2 linked regions of the Caenorhabditis elegans genome follow. The protein of the gene in region 2 purifies or fractionates together with the protein of the main gene of each other region. This does not show direct contact. Each region holds a gene or a part of one and is shown on either strand. Other genes may lie near its edges.

The links.
Region 1: the proteins of etfr-1 (region 2) and fbxa-170 fractionate together in Caenorhabditis elegans (co-fractionation; one large-scale study listed by BioGRID). This does not show direct contact.

Annotation. Positions count from the first base shown.
Region 1 is NC_003284.9:1,675,449-1,679,916, forward strand, and holds fbxa-170 (F-box domain-containing protein), read right to left. Parts: upstream 2,674-4,468; 5' UTR 2,660-2,673; coding exon 2,463-2,659; intron 2,410-2,462; coding exon 2,329-2,409; intron 2,278-2,328; coding exon 1,566-2,277; intron 1,292-1,565; coding exon 1,049-1,291; 3' UTR 757-1,048; downstream 1-756.
Region 2 is NC_003283.11:11,106,771-11,111,405, forward strand, and holds etfr-1 (LYR motif-containing protein 5), read right to left. Parts: upstream 2,978-4,635; 5' UTR 2,976-2,977; coding exon 2,856-2,975; intron 2,779-2,855; coding exon 2,669-2,778; intron 2,584-2,668; coding exon of another isoform or gene 2,465-2,583; intron 919-2,464; coding exon 849-918; 3' UTR 765-848; downstream 1-764. Other genes in the region: cdkl-1 (cyclin-dependent kinase), read left to right, coding at 10-149, 191-319, 366-506; erfa-3 (Tr-type G domain-containing protein), read right to left, coding at 3,678-3,884, 4,334-4,635.

The sequences.
Region 1 (4,468 bases), on a different chromosome or scaffold from region 2:
ACTCGTAGTCACTTCTCAACCAACTTTAGCCACTTTTTGACTGCCATTAGATTTCAACCACTTTCCAACAAACTTTGAGCACTTCTTAACCAACTTTGGCCAATTTTTGCCAACTCTCATCAAGTCAGGTGTTAAAAGCGTCAAAACACTGCTAAAATTGACCAACTTTAACCAACTTTTGCCACTTCTGTAAATGGCATTTAGAAAATGGCTAAAGTTAGTTGAGAAGCGGCGCCGATTTGAGGAGTGCTTCTGAAGTGTGAAACGAGTGTATATCTGTGTGAACTGATAAAATTTCATGTAAAGTTTAACTTTAATATTAGGGTGACCGAAAAAGACATGATCCGAGTTGGCCAGTTATCTTGTCTGAACATGATTTCAATTATTATAATTTTTACATCCAAACTATGTATGACTTTCCGCTTTGTTGGATAGTTAAATATTGAACATTTTTGTCGTCTTTTTTTCTGAAAAATTCATGTTTTTTGTTGAATATGGCCAATTCAGTCAAACATTTTGATATTCTTATATAGTTTTTTCTGCGTTGAACTTCAGGCTTCCCAAGTCATGCCACCAGCTCTTTTTATTGTTGTTCACAACCGTTTGTAGGTGCATGTTCACCTTTCTAATTAGATAGTACCTTGCACCTTTTACGACTATGGCAGAAGACCACGAGTTGAGCACCAGTGAATATCGATTACTTACTCCAAACTGAAGTTTCTGACAAATGGAAATCTGCTTGTTTCCAAGAGAACTGCAATGCACAACCATTTATCATATAACACTGGAAAATGAAAATTAGAATGAGCAAAACTTCTAAACGGGGGAATGTGAGATTTTTCAGTTAGAGTTAGTGGAAGGAAGGGGCTCTAAATAACAATATACTCAATATAGGTTGACATTAAATACATTATCTACAAACAAAATGATTCTATACAAATATTCACATATAACGATAAAATTTGATTTTAATCGCCATTGTAATATATTACATTCACAAATGAAACAATTATATACAAATATTTACATGTAAAGATAGTATTCAATTTTAATCGGAATTGGAACGTTTTTTGATCGAGAACTTGTCAACTGGATCGTCTTCATCAGGCTCATCATTTTTTCCAAAAGTAACCGTGAACTTCGCATTGGCTGGAGTGAAATAATCAAATGCTTGCTCGTCTTCCTCTTCATTAGCGACAAAGATAAGTCCAAAAACATTCGCAACACTTGGTAGGTCCATGACTCTGCTAGTGATATCAGCGCTTATGAAATCGGAAGATTCATCAATCATCTGAAAATAAGACTTTTGCAAATCTGGGAACTTTGCCTTTTAATGTGAAGTGGCGCACTTCTAAGAAGTCTAAAACTGAAGAAGTTGGTTGATTGGAAACTGGGCATGTCTACTTATTTTGGAGGAAGTTCAAAAATTGGGATTTGTCATCATTTCTCGTTTTTTTTTTCAATTTTTTCTTTAGTAAATATTTCTGAATTATAGACAATTTTGGATTTCTTGAAGCGAAATCCCAATCCCTTCTACATCATCTTCAATATTCACATAAACTCACGTCTCGAAGTTTCACAGCGTCTTCTTCGGTGAACTCCCGTAGCACGACGTCGAATAATTTAAAATGGAAGAAGCTTCCAATTGGGACATCCAAACTGAAGCCTCTACCAAAAAACCTCTCAGCCATCTTCCATTGGTCCATGCTTGAAAGATGCTCACAATGCTCGAGGGTTTCAAGTTCCGCGCGATCGAAAGTGTAGGGATCGATATTGAGTGATTCCAATTTTCCAGCAGGGAAGATCTCCAATAGTGAGGCATAATCGCTGATCGATACTTGAAGTGCATCGAAGTCTTCTACCTCAATGCTTCTCGTTGACTTGAGCATCTTAGTGATATCCGTGAAGCATTTCGTGTACAAATCTTTTTCCTCGATACTGAAATCGATAATGAGACTCTGCAGTATCACTCTTCGGTTTTCCAACACCAATTTCAAGTCATTGTGGCACAACTGAACGGCATCGCCTCCTTGAATGAATTTATTCGATGGTTCCAACTTCGGCTCTGTGTCGTCATACTGATCGACACAGGAAACTTTGCATCCTCCATTTACCGGTTGGTAAGTGATTTTGTATCCGTCGTACTCGATCCTTGAAAAATTATTTTCATCCGAACCATTAACCGAATAATTGTGAATGATGTTAAAATCCTCGAGATCAACTTCCGGGATTCTCACGACATCGCGGAACCCTGTGCATACTTTTGCGAGAGCCAATCTGCAATTCATATTTTATTATTTATTCAACTTTTTTTCAAAACTCTCTTACGTGTCAATGAAATCAACCCTGTCGACGATGAAATGAATCATATTGAGTGGGAGAGCATACATAGTCGATTTTGAATCGAGACTGAAAGATTTAAAAATTTATAATTTTAGGTTGATGTTTAAACCAATTTTTACCTTTTATCATGGTCCAAATTATCATTCACGTTGGAGAAATGATAGTACCAGTAGTCGAACTCCTCTTGTGGAATAGCGTCCTTTCCAACCTTCCTACAGAAGTTCTCATAGGCCTTTGAAAGTCGAGTCTTATCGAGTGCTTCGTAGAGAATGCATGCTCGAATGATTTGGTCGTTTTTGCGCAAAGAAGCCGACATTTGAGGAATTGTCTGAAAAACAATACAATTGAATAACAGTAAACTGGGAATTATTTTAATAATTAGAGTTACTAAGAAACGAGCAGATAATGAGATTCCATACAATTAAGTATTTCAAAAGTATGAAAAAAAAACAACTTTTTAAAAAGAGCAAAAACAAAGAAGATTGGATGAAGAATCATCGCCCAAAAACAAATGAAAATTTTGATTAAAAAGGAGAAAAATGGAGAAAAATACTTGTAAAAATACAAATGCAAATCGATTGCGAAACAAGGGAAGAGAATGCGTGGACACCAGAACACTTGCCGCTGTGAATGTAGGATGGCGCACCGCGGTCTGTTCAATAGAGCGCACATGCGCATTTACTCGGCCGCGGCCACGATGAACGGTCATGATCCAATAGTTTTCAGAAACAATGATTATTTGTCTGGATTTGTTTGAATGAGGAGTATCGGTTTGTAATTTTTCATTTTTCGAAATATACAGGGTGGTCCATAATTATGGCGACCTGCTACACGCGTGCAAGAACTTGATTTCTGGGGTTACCCTGTTACGAAAGTTTTAAAATTTGATTATTTAAAAAAAGTTCACAATATTTACTGTCGTTCACGTCAATTTCCATACAACATGCTTCAACTTTGAAAGTAGTGAGAGCCTTACAACATCGGTAGTCTATAATTTTCCTCCATTTTATAGGAGGTCTAGCGCCCGACGTCTCCTGCTGCGCTCATAGGATCAAGCAACTAGTTTCTATGTTTTAAATAATTATCAAGACTTCCGACACTCAAAATAGCAAAATCCGAGACGATAGACATATTTTGAGCCAACTTATGTTCGGATTTAGGTCGTTTTTTGCCCTCTAATAACAGTGCAAACAGTCCGTTGCAAAAAAAATTGCCCAAACATTCTGTATTCTGTGGAATATATCGAAATATTGAAAACCAAATTATCATTTTAAGCTAAGACAAATTAAAACTGGACACATTCGCATTTTCAACATGAATGAGCGTTGGTAAGGAAGAAAAATCACAAAACTTGGGGGAGCTTGCTTTTCTTGACTTTATCAATTTTCACAAGATGCCACTTCCGTCACCGGACACCAATCTCAAAAATTATTTGTGAAAAGCTTTGTTGTATCAAGGGTATTCTTAATATATAATCAAAATAATAAATCACTCAAAGTATCTCATTTAAAAATCACCAATAAGCTAAATCGAGCCTACTTGTGCGCTACGGCCATTCGGATTTTTGAGTGTCTTGTGTTCTGTGCGGATGTAGGTGGTGATAACTATCAAGTATTATATGTCGTTAAGTTTGTTTTTTTCTAACCAATAAAATGTGTATATTCACTTCTTTTGCTCGCTGTCCAAAAAAAAGTTACAGTGCCCCAAAGTGGTCGCCATAATTATGGACCACCCTGTGAAAGTTTTAGTTTCAATTTGGAGAGTGTTGAGTTTTCAACTCATTGGAAAACGATTTTAAATGTTTAAAGTTGTAGTTAATAAAGTGTTCAAAACCACACGAATGGTGCCAGAATGACCGAATATAATAATGTAAAACTTTTCACAAAAAAAGTTTGAAAGTTGTCAAAAAATGACAGTTACTCAGTTGATAAATTGGAATTGCTGGTAAAGCCAACCGACAGCCGACCGACAAATTTTCGTCTGATAGAAAATTTATAGGATAGTAAAAATTTTAGCAGAGCTCGCTGTACCAGCTGAAAGCCGAAAAAATCAGTCAGCCGCACACTCCTATTCAATTTTTTTTTTTGTTTGTTTTAAGTTCAAATTCCACTCGGATTTCAATGGT
Region 2 (4,635 bases):
CATTTACAGGGGAATTTTTACCTCGTCATATTTCAATTTTCCGCACAAATCAATTTTTCTTTGGACTTTCAATTCCTGAACCGGAGCATCTTGAACCTCTACCCTCTAAGCTCCCAAATGCGAGCAGTGCACAGCTCGATTTTCTACAGGTAACAGGATTTTCAAGCACAATACACAAAACTGATTTCAGAAGTGCTTCGAAATGTCTCCAGATCGACGCTTCTCATGTAGTGAGCTTATGCTGCATGGAATCTTTTCGAATTGGATATTACGGATACGACAGGATGAGAGTACACCAACTGGGCTCACTTCAAAAAGAGTTAGTTATTTCACATTAGTTCTTTAAAATATGAAATTTATTATAGAGCCCCAACTACCTACCACTTCTGAATGGAAATTCGAACAATTTGGTTTCAAAAAATTTCAGTTTGCAAGGAGGAAATCATGGGAATAACAATAACAATGGGAACGGCATTAATCGAAATTTTCTTCCAACAATTTCTTAAAATTTTGTTCACTAGTTTCATGGTCATATTGTTCATTATGATAAAACTTATTGCTGGAATCAATAGAACATCTTACCTATTCTTGTACGCACTTTTATATAATTCAGCCTCATAAATTTTCAGAAAAATATATAGCGAATTTGTGAAATTTGGGAAGAGCATGAATCAATATGCCGGAGATCGTGGGGAGACCCAGTGAGGGAACAGCTTGCACCTTTAAAATGACGTTCAACATTTTCACGAGTAAATAATAGAGATCATAATAATATTTTTATTTCACTAAATGATACTCGTGGGGTACATGTTTCTTTAATATGAATACAACGATAATTTAAAATCTATTCACAGTTTTTTGACAGAATCCTCGAACTTTTGGGTGGCAATGGAAACTTCTTCGTCTTTGTCGTAGTATCTGAAACATTTTCAATAAAGATATTGTGAAAAATGAAATATTGAATTTGACGCAAGTTGTTTAATATAATCTAACTTCGAGCTCTCATGAGCGATTTTGTGAAACTTGGCATTTCTTGTGAGATCGTGACGAGACCCGGGTCTGGGGCCTTCATTCCGAGATGACAAACTTTTTAGTGGCAAAGGTTCTTTGGGGGCATAGTATCCAAGGAGACAAAGTATCCAGTAGACAAACTGGGGTGTATCTTGGGGGGCATATCTTTGGTGACAACCTTTTTTTCAACTAGATTTTTATATGTATTTTTCAACTAATTTTTTTTCACATTTTTCTGGAATAAGTTTTTTAATGCAATTTTCAATCGATTTTCGGTTATAATTCCCTTACAATTGAATGTATGAACGATGGTCTTTTGGGAAAAGCTGTAAAACGTCCAACTAACTTGAAATATCGTGAGGCTCTTCCTGATGGTCTGATCCTTCAGCTCCGAAGGATCACATGGGTACCTTCTGATGTTCTGATCCTTCAGATAAGAAGAATCGTAAGGGTACCTCCTGATGGTCTGATACTTCAGCTCCAAAGGATCATGAGGCTCGTTCTGATGTTCTGATCCTTCAGATAAGAAGAATCGTAAGGGTACCTCCTGATGGTCTGATACTTCAGCTCCAAAGGATCATGAGGCTCTTCCTGATGTTCTGATCCTTCAGCTCCAAAAGAACATGAGGCTCTGCCTGATGATCTGATCTTTCAGAGCCGAATGATCACATGGGTACCTCCTGATTTTCTGATCCTCATGTTCTTTTGGAGCTGAAGGATCAGACCATCAGGAGGTACCCTTACGATCCTTCTTATCTGAAGGATCAGAACATCAGAAGGTACCCATGTGATCCTTCGGAGCTGAAGGATCAGAACATCAGGAAAAGCCTCGTGATCCTTTGGAGCTGAAGGATCAGACCATCAGGAGGTACCCTTACGATCCTTCTTATCTGAAGGATCAGAACATCAGAAGGTACCCATGTGATCCTTCGGAGCTGAAGGATCAGAACATCAGGAAAAGCCTCGTGATCCTTTGGAGCTGAAGGATCAGACCATCAGGAGGTACCCTTACGATCCTTCTTATCTGAAGGATCAGAACATCAGAAGGTACCCATGTGATCCTTCGGAGCTGAAGGATCAGAACATCAGGAAAAGCCTCGTGATCCTTTGGAGCTGAAGGATCAGACCATCAGGAGGTACCCTTACGATCCTTCTTATCTGAAGGATCAGAACATCAGAAGGTACCCATGTGATCCTTCGGAGCTGAAGGATCAGACCATCAGGAAGAGCCTCACGATATTTCAAGTTAGTTGGACGTTTTACAGCTTTTCCCAAAAGACCATCGTTCATACATTTATTGTAAGGGAATTATGTATAAATTGTAAGGGAATTATGTATAACCGAAAATCGATTGAAAATTGCATTAAAAAACTTATTCCAGAAAAATGTGAAAAAAAATTAGTTGAAAAATACATATAAAAATCTAGTTGAAAAAAAGGTTGTCACCAAAGATATGCCCCCCAAGATACACCCCAGTTTGTCTACTGGATACTTTGTCTCCTTGGATACTATGCCCCCAAAGAACCTTTGCCACTAAAAAGTTTGTCATCTCGGAATGAAGGCCCGGGTCTGGTGATCGGGTGCCGCATCAGAGAGACATAATGTACCTTTAAAGCGATGTATCACTTTTCAGGACATCATTGATAGTAGAACTGACCTTTGTTTCATCGCACGATACTTTCTGAGCGAGTAAAGTGCTTCAATTTCTTTAACAACAAACTCTCCTCGAGCAATGAGTTGCTCCACTTGTTTTGAATCTTGAACCTCCTGTAATTATTGTGAATTCTGTTATAGAATTTCTAATTTCAGCAACGATTCAATCAAAATTATTTTCGTTCGCTTACTTTATTTTTAGAAAACGCCAATTTGAGCCGATCGTGGAACCATTTCGATCCACCAGGGTATTCCTTCCCCATATGGTACAAGTTTTTGTACAAGTCAATTACTCTGCTTCTCAATGACATTCCTCAAATATTATCTGATCAAATCTGTGCAATTCAAGCAAAGAGTAGGCACAGGTGTTTCGCGGTTTTTAAAATACTTATGAAATGTAGTTCGCACACTTCTACGAGAGGCACCAGCGATATAGTAAAATACTTGCAAAATCGCAAATATTTTGCAAATTGCGACCACCGAGAATCGCGATTACCAAAATACTGCTAAAATGTTAGTGGTCCCGCAGCGAAATTCGCGATTTACAAAATGCGTCTGTAATATTGGTGGCCATAAGTATTTTACAAACGGCGAATCATATGTGGGTATATCATCAGGTTATTTTCCTTTTTTGATTATTCGTATTACAGTATAGTCCAAAGTTTAAAACAAACACCCCATTCATATTATGAATATTGAATGAATCAAATCAAATTAATCGAATAAATAGAGAAAACAATGAACAAAGATTTAAATTCTGAATAATATATGAAGGGAAAATGGAATACGAATAGAATTTTGCTTTATGGATAGTGGAAGGGAAAATGAATTCAGGTAATTTCTATTAGAAATAGGATTGGTAACATTAGATTCAACAATCTTCCCAATGGAAACATGTGGAATCTAAAAGAAAAATAGTGAAAAGCGACATGTGGGAGGGACAGAAAACGGACCGGCTGAAATCAGAAAAAAAAACAATTTTTAGAATAGAAATGACTAATTTATCAATGAAATTACTCGACAACTTTGAGGACCTTTCCGATAGCGATTGTTTTTCCTTCATCTCTGAGGGTGAATCTTCCAAGGTATGGATACTCTTTGAATGGCTCGAGTACGAATGGTTCAGGACTTTCTAGTCTCATAATGCACTTCTCGTCTTGTTTCACAAACTTAGCACGCTTCTTTTCGCCCGTTTTCTTGTCAATTGTGGCAATGACTCCCTGAAAATGTATTTTATTTGGAAAAAATACTTACGAGAAAAGCAACAGTCTCATTTTTAACGTTTCTTGTAAAAGTGAAAAAAATGTCACATGAAAGTAGAAAAATGATTTGAAATTTCGGGATCTCGGCAAAAATCAGAAAATTAAAAGACAGAGACCCGAAGAACTCGGGGGTTGTCCAATTGGGGGGATTACCAACTCGGGGGATTGGCCCCGCCCACAGAACCGTGGCTTGCAATACGCCCATTTCTGCAACTGCCGCACGGTTTTAAACCTGTATTTTTCTCATTAGAGCGAGAAATAACAAGAAAAAATAATTTTATAACCGTGCGGCAGTTGCAGAAATGGGCGTATTGCAAGCCACGGTTCTGTGGGCGGGGCCAATCCCCCGAGTTGGTAATCCCCCCAATTGGGCATCCCCCGAGTTCTTCGGGTCTCAAAAGACATACCTTCACAGTGACTTCTTCGACAGCTGATTGAATATGCAATACACATGAATATCCGGATGCAATAATTGATCTGTGCTCGAGGACAAGGACTTCAGCATCGAAAACGCGGCCAGTTTTAGCAAGAGAATCTGGTGAGCAAATAATGAATCCTCCTTGCAATTCGTTTTCTTCAATTCCCTTCAGCTTGAATTTGATATTATCTCCAGCGACGACACGTTCAGTCTCCACATCATCCGCCCAAATCTGAAGCACCTGAACAGGCTGTTTGTTTGGCATAACAACAAGTGTATCTCCTTTTTGCA